Drosophila melanogaster: one gene and its partners. The protein of the gene in region 3 interacts with the protein of the main gene of each other region in a pairwise test. Each region holds a gene or a part of one and is shown on either strand. Other genes may lie near its edges. The genes, in order: Ccn, cdm, toy and CG3857.

The links.
Region 1: the proteins of toy (region 3) and Ccn interact in a two-hybrid assay, tested with the Drosophila melanogaster proteins (one large-scale study listed by BioGRID).
Region 2: the proteins of toy (region 3) and cdm interact in a two-hybrid assay, tested with the Drosophila melanogaster proteins (one large-scale study listed by BioGRID).
Region 4: the proteins of toy (region 3) and CG3857 interact in a two-hybrid assay, tested with the Drosophila melanogaster proteins (one large-scale study listed by BioGRID).

What each region holds. Positions count from the first base shown.
Region 1 is NT_037436.4:17,688,291-17,693,030, reverse strand, and holds the start of Ccn (Ccn), read right to left. Parts: upstream 3,017-4,740; 5' UTR 2,556-3,016; intron 1-2,555.
Region 2 is NT_033777.3:18,178,758-18,185,291, forward strand, and holds cdm (cadmus), read right to left. Parts: upstream 4,723-6,534; 5' UTR 4,590-4,722; coding exon 4,434-4,589; intron 4,336-4,433; coding exon 3,839-4,335; intron 3,777-3,838; coding exon 3,095-3,776; intron 2,990-3,094; coding exon 2,390-2,989; intron 2,324-2,389; coding exon 2,126-2,323; intron 2,066-2,125; coding exon 1,928-2,065; intron 1,869-1,927; coding exon 1,309-1,868; intron 1,293-1,308; exon of another isoform or gene 1,245-1,292; coding exon 1,160-1,244; 3' UTR 518-1,159; downstream 1-517. Other genes in the region: CG7208 (uncharacterized protein), read right to left, coding at 5,026-5,836, 5,901-6,388.
Region 3 is NC_004353.4:988,152-992,791, reverse strand, and holds the start of toy (twin of eyeless), read right to left. Parts: upstream 3,068-4,640; 5' UTR 2,541-3,067; coding exon 2,290-2,540; intron 727-2,289; coding exon 546-726; intron 1-545.
Region 4 is NC_004354.4:1,937,199-1,941,887, reverse strand, and holds CG3857 (uncharacterized protein), read left to right. Parts: upstream 1-1,847; 5' UTR 1,848-1,933; coding exon 1,934-3,397; 3' UTR 3,398-4,188; downstream 4,189-4,689. Other genes in the region: CG3587 (uncharacterized protein), read right to left, coding at 477-764, 832-1,178, 1,237-1,501. UniProt on the Drosophila melanogaster protein: Involved in nonsense-mediated decay (NMD) of mRNAs containing premature stop codons. Probable component of kinase complex containing nonC and recruited to stalled ribosomes.

The DNA of each region.
Region 1 (4,740 bases), on a different chromosome or scaffold from region 3:
GACATTTGCCTGACAATCGGCGGACACATTTTGCCACACCGTTCGCCCCTGGGCGATGCGGATTTTTCCGCTGCTTTGATTTTGAATAGCTCACTTACTTAATAAAAGCGCGAGTAAAAAACGCCCTCCCACCCCAGTCTTTGTTTTCTAGATACCCCCACAGTCTGTGCTAATGCTGTGCAAATTCAAGTTCGTATTCTTGAGGATTCCGCTTTACGACCCTCGCTCAGATCAGATCATAATACTTGGCGTGGTATAATTCACAGCTTAAAGTGGCTCATGAAAAATAAGTGAAAAGTCGGGGATTTAAATTGGCAGTTGTTGTAGAATACTCTACCAATTTATTCCGATAAATACAATCAGCATGTTACTCAAATTTCTATTTCAACAACATCTTATTAGGAGGTCTCGTTTTGAAAAAGAATTGTCTCCTGCTATTCTCGTTCATCTTGTTAAATTCCAGAAATTTATTTCGCGTGCCCCAGTAAAGCACACTTAACTTTGTGCCCCCGTCCTCGATCAAGTGTTGTTTATTACGGCTACAGTATTTTTCAGATCCTTCGACGGGGAGAGCATGCCAACGCAAATCTACCTTGAGAAAGCAACAATCAGTCCCCCAAGGCCGCAACAACAAGGCAAAAAGTTGGCAAGTAAATTTATTTATTGAGTCACTTACTTGGCAAGAAATCTCCTTGCCTTCCCAACATGGAATGCGTGTGTGTTTGGCTTGAATTTATGTGTGTTTTGGCTGCCGACTTTCACTTGGCTTTCCACACATTCGCCTGGTAATTGTATTAAATTTCAATTAATATAATATGTGCCTAGGGTGCGGAGGAGTTCATTTGAAAAGTATTTGGTTTATGAAGCTTATCATTTTCATAACTTCTCGAGTTCAATTTGCGGAATGGCTTAATATAAATTTTATGATATGCTATCAAACATTCTGTTTTCAAATCAAAAGCATAATACATCATTTCACAACAAATACAACAAATACAAATAATACAACAAATCACTACCATACAAAATTAATCTAGTCATCTGTTTCTATATTTTGAGTATTAAGTTGCTTATTTAATCGAGTATTTCAATGTTTTCTTACTTGATTCAAATTCTGGATGGTTATTTTTCATCGAAACGCTTCGTAAAGGTTTCTTATTTTTTACGGCCATCGAAGCGAACTTTGTCTTGGCTTTATTGTTGCTACTGTTGTTTTGGGGAATATTCCAATTTTGTTGGTCATAAATTTTAGCGAGACTGGCAAATGAAAAGCACAGCGTAAAAGAAAATATTTAAATTTCCTCGGTTTCCCAATTTTTTTTTTTGTACATTTTTGGCAGCCCTTTTTTCCAGTTCGGTTGAAGGGAGCGGGAGTTCTGTGAGAAAAAATCTGCTTAAATGTACTTCCGTCATAAAATAACGGTAATGCACAGCAATGTGCGTCTGTGGGTGTGGGCATGTATGTTGTGTGTGTGTGTGTGTTGGTGTGTTTGTGTGTGCATGGCTCACGTAGCAGGACGAGCAAGAAAAACCTTTTTATAAATGTTGGTTCGCAGCTTCCGCAAAATAATAAAACAAAAAGGCAGCTGCCAGGACATCCCCCGTCCAAAGGCAACTGGAAAGAATGCTTTTAAATTTGACACACACACCGCACACACACACACACAAGCACGCACTTGGCGAAAAAAAAAATTAATAAATTTTGTGCAACAAAGTTGCCTCTAAGGCACCGATTCGCAACCGACCATGAACCCACTTCCCCGCGTTGCTCACTTCGGTTTCAATTTTTTTGTTCTGTTTTTATCCTTTTTTGTGTTCTCTGTTTGTTTTGATGGCCCAAAACTCGGTGCGGCAACATTTGTTTGAAGTTTATTTTGCATATGTTTATTTTTGTTTACGCAATGTTATTCCCCTTTGTATTATGTCCTTTTTTTCTGTTTGCTGCAGTGTCAATTGTCGCATTGGCATGCGAAACTTTTTTTCGATGGGTAATTTAAAAAAATATACCGCATTTTTATTTTTATCAAGAGAAATACATCATTTACCGCAATATAATAACAAAAGAAACTATTTATCTCATACTCTACTCATACCACCACAAACTTGGCTAAAAAAAAAATTAAATGCCTCACATTAATGCAAATATTTAACACTTAACACTCCCATTAACTTTTAATTGGAAGCTTATCGCTTTAATATGGTAGCTTTTAAAACAATAAAACAATGACGTTCGTTTAAAATTACTTCCACACTTGTGCTTCAAATTTTTTTAGGGTTATATATTACCTATTAATCGATGCTTGCTCAATGCACGAACTAATTAAAATTGTCCAACGTAGAAACAAATAATCAGCACAAAATTCGTTCAACTAAAAACAATAGATATTTGCTAGTGCATTGAACCTCCATTTTTGCCACATTATGTAGATTTATTTGAAGCCAATGGCACAAACGTCAAAATAAACGCATTAACACTGCGGTCAGTGTTGATTAAACTTGTATTTTTAGCAATATTATAATAAAATATTCAACAATAAGTATACCATTTGACATACCTTAAATTAGCCGGACTTTCTGCCCACACTTTTGATTTATCGAGGGGGTTCAGAGACCCCTGGCAGTGGCAATTGACCACTTCACTGGCTGCTCGTGTATTTGTTTTTCTACTTCTAGGTACTTTTTTTTATTATTTTCCTTGTAGATACGCCCGCAACACACGTCAATTAACCTACTTTCGTGCTGGCAGGAGGGCTGGGCAAAAAACCCCAAACATAATATAACCACTAGAACAATACTCGCAATACAACGAATGGGCCAAGTTAATTTGCTTAGACTTTTGTTTTGGTTTCTATCTTTTTTTATTCGCCTTTTGTCGTTTCGATTGCTCAAAGTATTTCCGGCAACACACGTACACACACCCACGAGGGACACTTTAGCCGGCTTTTTTGCCTTCTTGCGCCAAAATCCAATAAAACAGTCTTAGAAGACCAGGTGATATCGCTCATACGACGCGTGTGCCGTGCAGCACGAACGAGTGACAAAAACGAACTGAAACTGAGGACGGAGGACTGAATTCAAATCGGAGTCCAAGTTGGCTGACCAACTGCGCATGCGTCACTTTTAGTCAATGAAAAGCTTCGTGCCACAAGACATTTGCCGCCAACAGGACTCCGAAAATGGCACTCGTTTTCGGAGTAGTCTGTTGCTGATGTTGCTTTTGGTGTTGCTGTTATTGCTGTTGCTTTAGGTGTTGCTGCTGTTCCTGTGGTTGTTGTCGTTGTCAGCGGCAACATAATCATCGGCGCGTGTTGCTCACTTTGTTGGCAGACGACTCGCAAACCGAAAACACAGCCAACAGAACGCACAACAGCAATCCTGGCGCACAATTCGCGCAACGTCATGTCAACGAGACAGTCGAGACAAATGCCACAGATCCCCTGCCAAAAGGACACCCCTCTTCGAATCCTTGAACCATTTTCAGGCCCACCCATTGTCAATTGTCTTGTGGGCTTAATGCTTCTTTGCCTCTGTGTTTTCCCTTTTATTTCAGCGCTGTCTGTTTAATTTCTTTTATCAACAAGCCGAGGTCTGCAGGCTTCCATCCTTCGTGTCCTTCGTGATATCCTCTTGTTGCGTCGCCCACACTCAATTGCTTATCAACTATCGGTGCATGCAGACGGCCTTTTGTAATCGCCAGCTTATTTGATTTATTGCCCTCGCTTTTGATTACAAATACATATGTGCTTAAGTTAATTGAGACTATACCACTTTTAAATTTTTGCTTCTTTTCTGCTTACTTTTTCATTGGCCAACATTATGTTCAAGGAACTATTGCATATTATAGATAATAGGGCGAATGGTTCACTGAAACATGCTCTTAAACCTCGCTGACCTCTCGCAATGGTCTTAAGCTTCGTATCTGGTCAGGTAAAGCCCTTGTAATCGCCTGTTAACTTGACATGACGATGCTTAACTGATTTATCTGTCTCATGGCTAAGACCCGGGCATTGATAGACATGATGGATGGACGAATCGATGAATGGACGTGGTCGAGGAGGGACAGGAAGTGAATTCTTGGTCCGATGAAAGATTGGCGAAGCTTTTTGCTACTTTCCAAATTAAACCGCTTAGTCGAGCGTTTAAATTTAATGCATTTGAGCTGCTTAGCCTCGTCTGCAGTTTATGTTTTTAGTCTATTTGCACACCATCCGACTGCACTTTATCGGCATCTTTACTTAGCCAAATTGCATCTTGGCCTGGTCCAGTGTACAGACTTCAATACTCTCGCATAAATTGCGGTTCTTTGTGTACAGCATTTGTGATTTAACAAGCAGGGTAAATAAATTATGCAAAAATACACACCGAATCGCAAAGAATTCGCCACTTGTTGAAAGTTCCGCCCCGGTATTGGTTGAATACAGTGTATCTCTACATTACACAATGGCATTACGGCTGATTATACTCGTGTAAGACTCGTTATTTATTATGAAAATCTGCTAGCTCAGAATTTAATTTAAAAGTTTGTGGGTTTCGTCACGGCTCAGGCAAATACAATTTGCAATTTCACAAATTTTAGAAGGGAACAAATCTTAAATACGCCACAAAATATGCCATCTTCTGACCATGGAGGACCAACAGGAGCGGCAGCTTAGATGGCGAGTGGCGTTGGGAGCCGCTTAAGCCTCCGGCCGGTCCATTTTAATCCCTTTTAAATTGATATTGTAATTGGTTTTTGTATGT
Region 2 (6,534 bases), on a different chromosome or scaffold from region 3:
CCACTATTATACACACATACTATATAAAACATGTTTACTACTCCACGACTCAAATTTGCAAATATTGTACGCTATTTAGCCTAGCAGTTAGAGCAGCATACCCATAATATATTTATATGAAACAAATCGCCCAGCAGGACACATAAATTGTGGTATGTATGTGCGTGAGTGTATTTTTGTATGTACTACCTATTAAATATAGAAATATATATATATATATATGTGCGGAGAACCGTGTTCCTGAACACCGATCAAAAGGAATTAGGCATTTTTGTTTGTCCTGGACTGGCCGTGGATGATCCTGCGGACCGCCAAGGAATAGAGATGTGCCAATTTCTGGTCCACCAAGCACAGTTGATAACCTATAAGCATCCTTACAACGTCACCACAACAGACTGGGACAAATTGCTGGTCGTAGCGTCTACTTCTATACGTTAATCTATATCTATATGTTAAACTGTAATTTTGGATCCGTGTCAACCAGTCGTTTAGTTCCATAGTCAAGTCATTACCGGGTCCGTTAGACAAGGATTTATGCAGATACTCTCAACTAATCTAGAATCTAGACAAAGGCGACGAAGCAGATCAAAAGAGTTTTGCTACCACTACCAAGTGCTGTACACGCCAAAAACGAAAGGCTTCAGTTTAGCTATAGACACAAATATATATATATATATATATATTATATAAAGAGATGTATTTACATATTTTTGGCATTATAGATACATACACAATGTGGAAAATTGCAAAACAATAATATGGGTGGAGAGGTAAAGGGAAAGTAATTCTTAGAAAGGCAGATTTTTTCATACAGGAAACGGTGAAAATCAAACTTTTCAACATAAGAATTAAACATATATATATATATGGGAAAAACAAAAACTATAAAACATTTACTAAAAGTGAAAACAATAAATGAAAAATGAGTTATACACCCTTAAAACAATATATATGTGCAAATTGTAAATGGAGCATGTAATTTTGTAAAAATTATAAATAAAAGTTTATCAAGTCGAGAACTTTTGAACTTAAGTTAAAATTGGAGACAATTTACAGAGCTGACGGCCTATTTAAATACAAACTAAATACAATTATAGAAACTAGATCAAAATCCGGATGGATAAAGATGTCATTTGGCCACTTATTGCATACACTCATTTCACTGGAACTTTTCTGTAAGTCCTCGGGTCTTCATTGCCATTTCCGACAAATGTTGTTGCAATAACCTCTTGTTGACCTTTTCCCTGTGAAAAAATTTATAAAATTAATACAATCTTTAAGGATCTATATATAAGTAACGCCTCTCACTTGATTATTAGAGCAGTGTAGCGCGTTTTATCCGCGTCGGTTATGAGCTGTGTGGGGAAATTGGGAGTGGACATTAGGGACTTCATCCAGACGGCCATCTCGGCGGCATATTTTCTGTTCATGGCAAGAAGGATGTCTGCAAACTTATCCACCTGCGACCGCGGCGTTAGGTAGCCCACGCACATCATCGCCGTGTACAGCGTCTGCTCGCCGGTGGCCAGGACAACTTCTGTGACATGAGCATGGTTACGCGACTGCATCACAAAGTGGGTAAGAAACTGTATGCTATTTCGGATGGCACCACTCTCCGGCAAAGTCATTCCACGCTGGGCGTAAAAGACCAGACGATCGTAGGCCAGTGTCTTGTCCTCCAAAACTTGAGGGATTTTCTTAATGATCTGCGTCAGACAGCCGAAGAAGGTTTCCATGGTGTCCGAAATGTTGGAGAAGTTCTGCTCGGGAGTGCTCTCAAATAGCTTAAAGCTGTGTTGGATGAACTCCCTCAGAAGTTGCTGCATCAGCGGCTTGCAGCCTTCGTCCTTAAAGAACATAACAATGGCCTGAAACAAAGGATTCTATTAGATCACTCAGTCATTTGCAATATATTGGTAAGGCTCACCGTTTTGGATATTTCTAGAGTAGGAGCGCAGCATCGGGTCTGAAAGCTGGCAACAATGAAGAGACAAAGATCCTGCAGCATTGGCTGGAAGCTGCTCCTTAAATTCGTTATCGCATGCTTCATCGCACTGCAAGCGGCCTATATGAATACGATAACATTTTATTAAAAATATGCAAAATTTTGTGTTTATTGCCTTACCTCTAGGACATCGATCTCCTCCACCCACATCTCGGCGATTCTCTTGAAGATGGGCATCGTGCGCTGCATGACGAGCAGAACTGGCTGCACAATCGGTTGGTCCGTCGCCTGCTCGTCCACATCCGTGTTTAGCGAGGAGAAGAGAGTGGAGATCATATTGAGCCGGAAGATTGTGCGAATTCGAGCAGCGGGAGTTTTCTAGTGCAACAAAAGAAATGGTTAGCAACTGATCTCTTTATATATTTTATATTTATATTTACTCACCGAATCTGCCTGGCAAATGGCCTGTAGCTCCTCGAAGCAGGGACTGACGATAATATCCAAGTATTTGGGTATTTCCTCTGGCCGCAGCAGGCTCATTAGCTTACCGATGCTGAACATAAGCCTCACCGAATCGGAGTTCTTCATGCGGCCCGTGTTTAGGGAAGCGTGGCATGCGTTTAGGAGCGGATCCGCATACGGCTTCAGCTGCAGCTGACAATCGCGACACAGCTCCTTCAGGCCGAGCGTCGCCTGTGCTGACATTGAGGAGTTGAGGCCGCGCACCAGTAGGTTAATGGCTGGCGGAATGTACGCCGGATTCTCCATCAGCCAATTGCAATAGGAGCCCATTGTCTCTAGCGCAGTGCCCAGTAGCTTGACATTGAGCTTCTCGTAGGGAATCTCGGCCAGCACGCGCATCAGCCGTGGTATTTGCCGCTTCTCCTCGCCACCAAAGTGCTCGGCCACCGACTGAAAGGAATAGATGCACGCCTCCAGCTTTGTCCAGTGTGTGGGATGTCTTTGCAGATCGGCAATGGCCTCGTCCAACATGGCAGCCAGAATCTCCAAGATATAGTCATTCAACACATCATAGCAATACATCTAAAATAAATAAAATAAATGCTATATTATGCCTGTTTGTTAATAGTTGAAAACGGTAGCCAATCCTTTCGATTTGGAGACACTCCAACTGTTGCAACCACTCACAAAGGTATCGGATATATCCTGTCTGTAGCACCTAAAGCATTCCAAATCATCGGAGCTCCACTTGGCGAGCGACTTTTCGTCTGGCTGCTCTGACTTTCTTACTAAAATCCTGGTTAGATGGGCGTACAATGGTTTGATGTACTCCCAGCACTTGTGTTTCTGCTCATCGTTAGACATGGCGAACACTTCGTCTTGCAGCATATACCAAAACGCCAAGGCCATTGTGCTGCAGGACTCCTCCACCGGGTAAATGCCCGGCTTGTCCGTGCAGTGGAGAATCTCCTGCACGATGCGATGCACTAGGATAGACAATTCCGGATCCGCGGACGTGATGCCGCTGAGCAACAGCGTCGAATGTCGCTCCACCGAAGAGACGAACAGCATGTAGATATGTACGATAATGTCCTCGTTGTCGTTCTCCCTCTTCCATTCCGTCTTTGTGATTTCGGATAGCGAGTCCAGGAACATTTTTATAAGCACAAATGCCGTCTTTGGATAGTTGTGGCAGTCTGGCTGGATGATAATGTTCACCATGGTCTTCAGACAGGACTCGGCCAGTTCGTTCTCATCGGCGGTCATGCAGCCGTCGCCGGCGTGTATGCAGGGCCAATAGCACTTGTGCACCACTTCCAGGAGCACGGCGGTGATGGTGACGCAGCCCTCAATGGTGTAGCCGATGTTTCTGTCCAAGTTGGAAACTCACTTAGAACGTGTAAAGAATAATTTTGTAAATTGAATACTCACTTGATCCAGGTGCCGACGCACTTAACGGCCCTGTTCATGTTACTGTACGCCTCGGCATCCCACACGCGGTTCATTTGCAGCTTCAGATATCGCTCAACGGTGTGAATGACCAACTGCACTCGCTTGGCGATCTCGGCGCGCAGAACAACCCGCTTGACAGACGTATGTATGACCTGCGCTTCCTCGGGAATGGCGGTCAGCACCTCCAGCATGATCCACAATTGCACATCGGCGCTGACATTTGGCATCCGTTGATTCTGAAACGTGTTGATCACCTCCTCGATGGCGCCGGGCCATTCGCCCAGCATGTGAACGATGTAAGCGCCCAGCGAGATGCACAACCGATTGAGGACGATCTTCGGTCCGCCAGCGAAGCGAACGATGGATTCGAGTATCTTTTGCTTTAACTCCTCGCGATTCTCTGGCGGCACTTCGTGCCAGTGCTTCATAAGCTTGGAGTGCAGCGTGATGGCGCCGAAGAACTGCACCTCCTGACTCTGTGTGGGCGGTGGGGTGATTGGGTGGGCGGTAGGTGCATGAGTATACATATCCGGGTAATTGATGCATTGATGCGCAGGTCCTGCGTGGTACTCACCTTGCCGAGCTGCATTAGCTGCCAGGAAAACTGCCAGGCCTGTGGACTGGCCTCCGCATCGGTAAGCCATTCATGGGTGATCGCCTGGTTCTGCGAGTTCGAGCGGTAGAACGACACGACCGCCTCCTCCAGACGCGCAATGTCAATGGGCTCCATGTGGAATGGCTGCTGCTGCTGCTAATGCTGCTGCTGCCGAGAGGCAGTCTCCTGTCCGCTAATCCTCGGGTGGTGGTTTTCTTTGCTTCTGCCTGTGGGCACTGGATTCGCGAGTGTGACCAACGCGCGAAGTCACCAATTCGCGGACGGGCCGAGTGTGCGGTCACTCCATTTTCGACTTTGCCGCGCTTTTTTTCCTCCTGTATTTTTTATAAAAAGTGTTGAAATGTACGTATTTAATAATAAATAAATATGTAATATAGTATAAATTGCTTGTGGCCTATATGCTCGATATATGCAGGAAAAATTCAATTTATAACAACATTTATTCATTCGTACACTTCATAAAATTTTACTATTTCTATTTAGTAAATACTCTCTGCAATTGAGGAGTATCTTAACAAGTTAACAGTGAATTTGGAAAGCCCAAAAAGTCCTATATAAAATCGAATTTAAGTTGCCAGAAACAGTATCGCAATTTGGAACACCGGTCGGCGATGAAATCCCTGCTATCCTCATCGATATACACCTCAATAAGGACGTTGTCGCAGAATTGAGCGACCTGCCTCTCCACGTCTTGGCAGTCCAAAGTGGAGCGATTAACGACGGCCCATCTGTCGGTATTCAAGCCCGGGTTCTGTGACTCCAGTAATGCGAAGATCACACAGAGCGACTTATTCGGACTGACCAAGGGCAGGACAAAGGTCGTCCTCACTAGATCGAAGAACTTAATGAAGGGCTGGCAGGAGTGGGGCGGCTCCACACCTTCGACTGCTTCGATGACCCATTGGGCCGTTTCGTTATCCTCGCAGACCACCAGCATGTTGCAGTCGAATGTCTGCGTTGAGGCACACTCACTAAAATTGAGATCGCTGACGCTCGATCCACTGTCCTCGAATATTGAATGAAAGTGCTCCATTAGGGCGATAGTGTCCACACCATCCGAGCACGAACTCTGGTTAGTTATCACCAAGGCGTAACGTCGGTTCTCGGGCATTGTGTTCGCATACGGCGGCCGAGTATCCCTCTTGCGACAATTCTTTGGCGTGCAGCAGTCCTTCTTCCTCTCCTTGCACTCCTCGGCCTGCTCCACTGAGCAGCTTGTGCGGCTGGTCTCCGTCTTGCAGCAGTTCATCAGGTGGATCTTCGAACCAAATATGGAAGCCATGCTGCCGGCTCGTTTGTCCGCGAGCAGATTCTGCTGCGGAACCACCTTGACCACGCTGTTCTCTTGGTTGCTTCGTATTCTGTGAATGAATCAGTTGGGTATCCCTATCATTTACATATATAGTTATTACACACAACACACACCTTTTGGCAGCCGATTCCTCATCGGAGGCGCACACTCTCGTCTTTCGCGCTACGGAGCTGGCGCTCGTGCTTGCGGATTCGAAGCTGGCGTTCGTCTGGTTCGACGCACTGGATGCGGAGGAATCTTGCGAGTTCGAAGCCTCGCAAAACTGCGGAAGCCTGTCCACTGGCAGAAGCATAGAGCTCTTCGGCATGTTAAGGAAATCCAGTTGGCTCTTGCCCTCTGGAATTGTATAGAATTGGAGAAATCCTACAAAGGAATTTTCGTGGTACAGCGAAAAGGCTGTACCATTAAGCGTTGTCGACGGATAAGTATAATCGCTTTTATCCGGAATTCTGAGCAAATTTGTAATAAACTCATCGTTTTCCAGAGACTTGTGAAAACTCTGTACGTTTAGGCGAGCCAAGGGAAGACCTACTTTTACCTCCAGTTTTTGCTTCAATTCACCAATGGTCGCATTATTGTGGAGCTCGAACATTTCCGGCATCTGTATGGGATTGAGAAATGAAAATATGTATTTATTAAATTTAAGCTTCAATTATTATAGCTCCATTTATAAGCCACAATTGTAAAATATGTGCGGGCTTAAGATAACTGCATACCACACTTGTGTTTCCCTCGGCATCTAATTTC
Region 3 (4,640 bases):
TTTCAACGAATCCAGTATACCATTTTACTCTACGAGTAACTGTATCATTAATCAGAGTTTTTAAGAGAACAGGAAAACAACTATAAATAGCTTAAAGCTATAAGGCTCTATTAGAAAATTCGTTTGAAACAATCTTCCAGCTTTAAACTTCTAAAATTTTTAACTTAAGACAGAAAGAGAGGTACAGACTGGTCCTAGATCCATCCTGATCATGAATATACATATATATTTTTAAGGATCGAAAACGCTTAAAATGGTATGTTAGAACTTTTATTAGTCAGATCAGAGTTTTTAAGAGAACAGGAAAACAACTATAAATAGCTTAAAGCTATAAGGCTCTATTAGAAAGTTAGTTTGAAACAATCTTTCAGCTTTAAACTTCTAAAATTTTTAACGTAAGACAGAAAGAGAGGTACGGACTGGTCCTAGATCCTGATCATGAATATACATATATATTTTTAAGGATCGAAAACGCTTAAAATGGTATGTTAGAACTTTTATTAGCACGTGCAGAAATATTATTATGTGCGCAAAATATAACTTACACTTGGAATGTTATCACTATTGCAAACTTGTTCCGATAGCAGTCGATCTCGTATTTCCCACGCAAATATGCTGGGACATTCCCGTTTGTAATCTGCAATTTTTTGCACAACCGGGGTTGTAGCTACTCGTGGCTTTGAACCACCTATAGCTCGAGGTTTTATCGATCCAGTTTCATAATATCTAAAAAAAATAAACTTATTTACATTTTATCTGAGTAGTCATTAAAAGTAGATAATAGAATAAACAATGAATATACAATCAATTTAGATTTGGCTGTATATTTTCTTATTTTGCAAAGAACAGAGAATTTAAAAATACGTTCTTCTTAAGATATGATTTTGATTTTTATGTATTATGATCATAAATGGTGAATGTGTTTCAATAATCAGAGTCACACAATGAGAGATTGGGATGGGGGCCTGATTTCAAATTTTCATATTACGAAAATCATTGATTTTCTTACTCTAAAGTATTTATAATAGAACTGCTAATATCTGATTAGTTCCAATTATGTAACTTAGTAGTCGAAAGCCGTAAATATTCTCGGGAAGAGCAGTGCTTATAGTAAAGTAAAAAAGGACATTCCTCTAGTATTGATTGAAAAATCCTCTTTCCAAAATGTTAGATGAGCACAAAAAAACAATTCGGAGTGCAGTGCTTGTAAATGCGAGCTGCAACTTGTAAAAAGAAAAGCGCAGCGATTCATTAGTGGTGACAATGCTAAACGCCGTCGAAATGTTTAGCGTCGAGATAATAAAAACTATAAGCAAACCTCAGCGTCAACAGTCAACACTTTCAGTTGTAGACATTAAATTAGTTAAATGCAGCCGGTATATAAATATTTTGCGAATGGCATATAGGATTGAATATAGAATATATGCTAAACAAAATAACATAAGTATTAATTAGAAGCCAGGGGAGAAATGTATTTGTTAGTGTTGTACAATGGACAGCACTTGCAATACGGACACCAATAACGCCGTAAAGAGGTTCTTCCAACAAACAAATTTGGCTACTCGCAAAACAGATGCTAAGCAAGTTCTCTTTAATCATACGCAGTCTTACGATCATTGGTTAGTTGATACGAAATAGACTAGGAGGCATTCGGATCTTATGCATATAGAAACTACTGAAACGTTAGTAAGGCCATTAACTTACCAAAAACAGAGAGAATGCTATAGTCGAATTCCCCGACTATACGACTAAATACGAAAGCAAAATTGTGTTATTTTTCTGGGATCCGTTTTTTGCGTTTTGTTGGTGTAAGAAGGGGTGTGGCGAAAGTGTTTTTGGTATACCGATAGAAGACAAACAATAAAACGATTAAAAATCAACACTTTTTTTAAAAGTGTTGGCAATATGGGTCAACAAACTTGCGCTACGTCCATATCTCTACAATCAGTATGCCTAATTCCAACCATCTAGCTTTTATAGTTCCTGAGATCGAGACATTCATACGGACAGACGGAATATATACATACTTCATATGGTCGGGAACGCATCCTTCTTCCTGTTGCATACTTTTCAACAAATCTAATATACCTTTTGACTCTTTGAGTAACGGGTATAATAATCGAATCTTTCATATTTTCCAAATTTAATATCACTCCCTGGTTTAAACGCAGTGCTTATATAATAAAGTCCGAAGTCAGAAATTTTAGCTGAGCAGTTTGTTTGTTGGAGGCTACTTTCGTAGTTCCTGTTTAGTTAAGAAAATGTCATTATGCACTCGAAATGCCTCACCTGCCCAAAATTTTGCTTACGCAACCGTTGGACACTTGTAGTATTCTTGAAATATCACAAGGACGTGCGCCGGAATGAGCCAATTCGACAATTTTTTGACGCGTTGAATCGGGCAGTGGCCGGCCATTAACATATACGCCGCCCAGCTGATTTATTCCGCTATGGCCCGCCGTGGAGCACCCAAATAGAGTACTCTGCCCGACTGACGAGTGGGGATGCCCATGCATTATGTGTTCAGTTGTTAGCATCATAATTAATTATTTTTAATGCGGCGTTGGAGACTTCGACGGTGGCTGACGTGCGTATGTTTATTATTGAAAGTGAGAAAGTAGGATTACTCCCTTTTTCATTGTTGTTAGAAGGGGGGCTTCGTTGCCAACTTTGTACATCCCATATATATTATCTTCTTCACCTGGTAATCAAACTCCAGACTATCACTTCAGACGTTTTAACATTTATCACTTTTTACTTGCCAGGATATGAACTTTCACTTTATGAGTTTTGTTTTAAGTGTGCACGATGGAAAGCGTTAAAGTGTTTTAAAACTGTATCATAGATCGTTTATGAAAATGGTCCCGATATTTTCCGTCGAAAGTACGGGTCCGCAGCCCGGCGGCAGCGCCACGGATGGCGACCTAGTTTATTAATCTGGGAATAATTTGCATTCAAAATGATCGAATAGTGACGTAGGTATCGGTTTAAGCTTGAACAAAAATTTCTTTTGCTAACTGGTTTCAGTGACGAGGTGCGCACTTAGCCAAGCGAAACGTTAATGAGCTCTCATGCGAAAAAACACTGGCAAGAGCAACGGCTAACACATCGGCCAGCCATTTTGGCGGCGTTGCTCTAGTTGTCTCTTTTCATTTGCAGTCAGCGATAGCTAACAACGTTGCTGTTTTCCGTGCCGTGAAAAGAGATAGCTATAGAGACATGAGGAAGAGAGGCATTACAACAAAATCCATCGTGCGCACATCTGGCAAATAGGAGTTGCGTAGGAAAGAGACGGCTATGGAAGAAAGAAAAGTGTACCCTATCCGCTTGAAAATCTTTTTGAAGTTTTGGTTGGTTGTTAAATATATCGTGGGCAACTTTAACATTATGGATTCAGCGATAATAACGCTGGAAAATAAAACTGAATTTATATAAACATAGATGGTTGTGTATATGTGTAAGTCTTATTCATCATTGTATGCATATGTTTGGTTGTGATGATATTTTATCATGTTTAATGCACTTAATCCCTAAAATATTTGATTATATAACCATGTATCCAAAAGTTTAAGAATCTGATCATTCTGAATAACATACAATCTAATCGTTTGCCATACCTTTGTTTTAAAAAAGTATAGAACGACTAGTTATTTATTGCCCTGTATCAATTCCCCATCTTTACGTTAAGTATTATTATATTTCTGATGTCGGTTGTGTTAATATACAAAAATACATTCACATATAAAAACTATGAGTGCATTTTATTAGTTTTAATTTAAATTTAAAATTGAACAGCAATAAAAACGTATTCAGGAAGGTCAAACAGTATCAGGAGTTCAAAATGCCTTGCCTTACCTGTAGCGTGATCTGCGTGACTTGGGCTTGAGATGAAGTTTGTATTGTTAACTTTAAAGAGTATTTAGTATTTGTAAATTTTTTGTTGTATATCTATACAAAATATTAAATATGTAAATACATAAATTGTCTGTTCTGCTACTTCTGCTTGTATTTACATTTTCGATATCTATTATTTACAGAAATTAAACCCCCAAGTAACAGCATTCAAAACCTAAACCACCCCAAAAAGCCACCACTGAGCTTACTTGCTCTCAACATCCTGTCCGACACGTTTTTTGGATTTTTGAAGTCACACGCATCAACGAATCTATTTCCCCTTCCACCACAATTTCCATTATTGTAGTGCCGGCATCCAGTGTGCTGGGCTTCTTCAAAGGGGCATATTCTTGAATCGCCTTTTTGTCATTCCTATTGCGTGTGCCAAAAATTTCATGGCGCATTGTAAAGGTGACGAATCTGATTTTCCTGGAATGTGTGAAAATACCTTAATTTATATTATTTAGCGTAGTGTCTGGGCTGCAACAAATGCATATAACCATTAAATTTTGCACTCATGATATTTGATTTTTCTTGCGTACCTACTTACTAGTAGAGTCTCTATCGATATGCTAAACAATAATTTAGCCACGTCTACTCTAAAGCCTACATTTTGTTTGATGTTTTTTTAATTTCAATATCTTTATCAATGTGTAAAATAGAATGTCAGAAGGAAGCGCCTACATAAAGTATCTGTATTCTTGGTCAGGGCCACTAGCCGAGTCGATCTAGCCCTATCCGTCCGT
Region 4 (4,689 bases), on a different chromosome or scaffold from region 3:
CTGCAGCGCTGCGTTGGAAGAGAGCGCCCGAAGAGCGCGCTCAAGAGAGGGTTCTCTTCGTTCCCGCTGCGCAAGAGAAAAGTTCGTTCACTGAACTTTTTTCGCTGTAAGTAGAGTAGATTTTATAGGCGAAGGAAAATATTTTTTAAATTCAAATGGAAATACGTAAATTTTTTTTTATTGATTTCATGTAGTTTTGAACTCACTTTGAACAAACAAAAATGTATTGTTTTCCTTACGAAATAATAAATAAGCAGAAAATGCACTGCAATTAAGTACGCCACAAGAACCCAGAAGAGTCAACTTAATTAATCCATAGTGATAATAATAATCAAAAACGATTTTCATATTAGTATTTAAGCTACATATTTTATTTGATTTCCACATTAAATTGTGTCAACATCAGCCCAAAAACATTATCCTGCTGCCCGAGGTAAGAACTTTATTTTAGCATTTGTCTTGTCGCAATCACAGTGCTAGCAGCCGATCGTGTTGGCATTGATGAACTGCACGAACAAGTGCGGCACCTGCTCCAGCGGAGTGGGTGACGTCTGGCTGGCGTGGCACGTGCTCGTGATGAACTTCTGGCGCAGGCGGTTCAGCTGGAGGGCATTCATCGAAGTGGCGACCTTCACGGGATTTCTGCTCCCTGGGATGCGCAGCTGGCCGAAGGCCTTGATCTTGACGGCGCCGAGGATCTCCTTGATGATCGCCTGCACGATTTTGTCCAGTTCGAACAGGTAGTTGGTTGTTCCCAGCGGTGCCTGCGGAATGGACAAAGCAGTTACTTGTGATATTTTGTCTTCAACTCTGGCCAAGCTCTACGCTTACATTATAAGTACTCTGGTTGGGTGGCAGTGGCTGGGACTCGTACAAGGCCTTGTAGATGGCCTCCATGTCGAGCGTGTCCTTGGGCAAGACTACCACCAGCGGACTGTCCCAACGGTTGTTGCTCTGCGGCTCCTCGTAGCGCTGGCACAGAGCATCAAAAGTCTCTCTGGTGTAGGGAACATCCGAGTTGTCCACCGGCTGAACTCTTTCACTGTCGCCAGGCAGTTCATCCGGCGCCGTTCTTTGGCTATTAAAGGTCCACGCCTCCTCCTGGGGTATGCAGGTAAACACAGTGCACTGGGTGGTCCTTGACACCTTGGACATGCAGTACAATTCGTAGCGGTAGCCTGGAAGAAATTTTGGTTGTGGTTTACGAACCTTAGCTGAACCTTGGTGAGAGCTCACCTTTGATGTAGTTCCCGGCGTCCAAGATGACCAGATCCTCCTGGTTAAGGTGACGCGAGGCTTCCGACTTAAGATCGCTACGTACCACCTTCTCCTTCTGCGAATCACCTGTATGGGAATTCTTTCCAAAACCCGCCTTGGGCACTGCCTCGTTTTCGCTGATTAGATGCACCTTCCTGCCGCGCTCCACGAAATGATCCCGTAGCTGGCGGGCACGTGTGCTCTTTCCGCTGGCTGGCAGGCCCGTAATCACCACGAGGGGCATGCTTCCTAATTAATAACAATAAATAAACAAAGTAGGTGTCGGAACGTTCCGCTCACAATGCACTCGGTTACCAACACTGGTGACAGTGTGCAAGATGAGCATCCATCTGGTTTCGAGCTAGATTTAGATATGTGCTTGCCTTTCACTTCTCATGATTAAAAATATTTGGCTATAAGTCCAGTGCAATTGTGATAAAAAAAAGTGGATAATCTTGTGTACCGTTATTTGTTGGGCCAGCCGATTGTTGCGTCTGAAATTAAAAATGTTGTCCTTAATTTCGTATTTTTCGCTTTTTAGCTATATTTCCACGACATCTGCGATGGTTATGTACATACCAGTGCTGCGAAACAATGTATTAGCGTTGACACCCACGAACGTGTTCAAACCGATTTAAATTTAGTCAAATATAAACCCCAAATAACCGGCTTCCGAATGGCTGATCCCCGTCGTCGTTTCCGTAACAAAAAGCGGGATGAAGCCTGCTCCGGCCTCCTGGCACCCGTGACCATCGCCCGGCGCGAGGACGCCGCCCGCATGATGCAGCCAAAAATTCTGCTAAAGAAGGATCGCGATCGGGAGCAAGAGACCTGGGACAGAGAGCGGGACAAGGATAGGAAGCTGGAGAGGGACAGGGAGGCGGAGCCAAGTCCCAGTTGTTACCCCGATACACCGCCGGCCCTCAAAACGATGATCGTCAATCGTACGGGTGAGGTGCGGCCTGCAGACAGATGCCAGATGCCTTTGGCCGGAGGTGCTCTTGTCCAGGGAAGCGGGCAATTGTCCGCCGTGCCATCCAGCTCCGTTTGCGCCGCATTGGTTAGCTCGGTACCAACTAGCAGGGACAAGGGGAGCTGCAGTGGTGGTGCCGGAACAGCTGGCACCTCGGCCGGAGCACCGAATGCTCTCCAGGAGCTGCAGCCGCCACGCATGAACCGTCCCACACCCCTAATCGTGGCCAATGGTATTTTTAATGCCAATGCCCGCAAGCTCTTCCACAAAACCAATACGGACTTCACCGTAATCGGGGTCCTGGGTGGTCAGAGTTCCGGAAAAAGCACGCTGCTCAATCTTCTGGCCGCAGAGCGGTCCCTGGACTACGACTACTATCAACATCTATTCTCTCCAGAGGCGGATGAATGCATCTTTGCCACGCGTCACAAGTTGAAGCCGAACAATGGGCAGAAGAGCATTTTGCGTCCTCGCACGGAAACCCTGCAGTTTTTTATCACCCGGGAACGTCACATACTGCTGGACACACCACCGTTAATGCCTGTAGGCAAGGACTCGGATCACCAGGATCTTTACTCCCTGGGCACCATGGCGCAACTGTTGAGTGTATGCCATATATTAATTTTAGTCATCGATGGCTTGGCCTTGGAACAATTGCGTCTGATAAACGCTGCCCTTCGCCTGAGACCGACGCTTCATTGCAAAGGCTATGTACGGGATCACATGCCGCAGGTAGTATTCGTCCGCGCGCGTGCCCATCGAATAGACTTTGAGATACAGCAGCGGGAACGACTGGACAAAAAGTTGGCCTACTTATACGGGCCGACGGGGCTGCCCATATACCGGGGAAGAGGCGATGCACGGTGCTTAAACACCTTCCTCCTGCCGGAGGTGAGTAGCAACAAAGCCACCGCTTTCCATTCCTGCCTCGGCGAACTGGTGCGTCAGTTCCGAGAACGTATCCTCGGATGCACGCGCATCTCTATGTGCCACACCAGCACCGAACTCAGTGAGGCCATCTGGTTTGAGATCCTGGCCGAAAGTGCTCGCAAGGCGGCTCCTCATTTCGAAAAGATCTACGCAGAGATCAAGTTGCGCCACCTGGACACACGCTGCCAGTGGCGATCGGACAATTGGCGCACGTTCTCTTCCAATGCCGAAAGCTGATCCACAGATTGTAAGTACGCGGTTGGTATAAAACTATGCAAGTGGGTGAAGCGGCTTGGACTGGGATACGCAGTCCTGAATCATTCAAGTGATTCAAGTTCCAGTGGCAATGTTTACCTATCCTTTTATTAATGACACGTGCAGTGTTATGGCCAATATGTTTAGCTGAATACCGACCGACATCAAGTCTTTTTTTTAAAGGAGGTGTTTAAAGTTAACATATGAATCAGAAGTTGAGATAGTGACTGATATACATATTGTTTTACAGACATATCCCTAATTAATAAAAGACTTCAAAAATAATTGTATAGCATTTACAAAGAATAGTATTTACATTTTGGAGTTTAGGCTTAACGATTATCCATTTTTATCAGCCGATTATTAAAGTTAAGAACCCTCTTCTTGCGCTCTTCGTCAGGACTCACCAGCGCTCGGCTCTCGTGTTTTCGGGCCCCGTCAGCAGGCGACTCGGGGCCTGTCTAGTAACATGTTCGTGTAAGTTACGAACCCTCTTCTTGCGATCTTCGTCAGGACTCACCAGCGCTCGGCTCTCGTGTTTTCGGGCCCCGTCAGCAGGCGACTCGGGGCCTGTCTAGGAACATGTTTGTGTATGTGTGCATTCGGAACAAGTGCCGTTGGTCGCACTCAGGGTGAGGGGTCAACGGGGGAAGCGGATATAAAAGCAGCGGGGCGGGAGAAGAGGCCCAGTCTCGAACGGACACATAACGGAACCGCTAGCAGATCGCGAACTGAATCTTAAAATAAAGCTAATCGTAAACTCGAACCCTCTTAACTATCTTGACTATTATTTGGAGAACCACAGCATGTTGGTTGTCATATCAAGGTGAGGTATGCGGCAGCGAGTGCCGAGAACCCTGATGCAAGTGGAACTTGCGTTAACTGGCGCCCGAACAGGGACCGGCAATGTCCGGCCGATAAAAGTGATACGAAAAAATTGTGGAAATTTGTGCGTAAAAATAGTGGTGGTGTGCATAAGTCAGATTAAGATCTGAAATCCATAAATGAAAAAGAAGTGCTGCGTGAGCTGTGTATAAAATGATAAAATAGCAATTACCCGCTGCCGGGGGGAACTACGCCCATCCCGGGGCGCAACAAATATTGCATAATTCAATAAAAGGTGTAAAATTTCTAAAATAAAAATGTAAACCTATGTTGCGCCAAGACCTAATTTAAATTAATAAAACAACGACCCGCTACCGGAGGACGCCACGTCGCCCATGCCGAGCGCAAAAGTTGTACGATACCTATAACATAATTAAAACACGATCAAC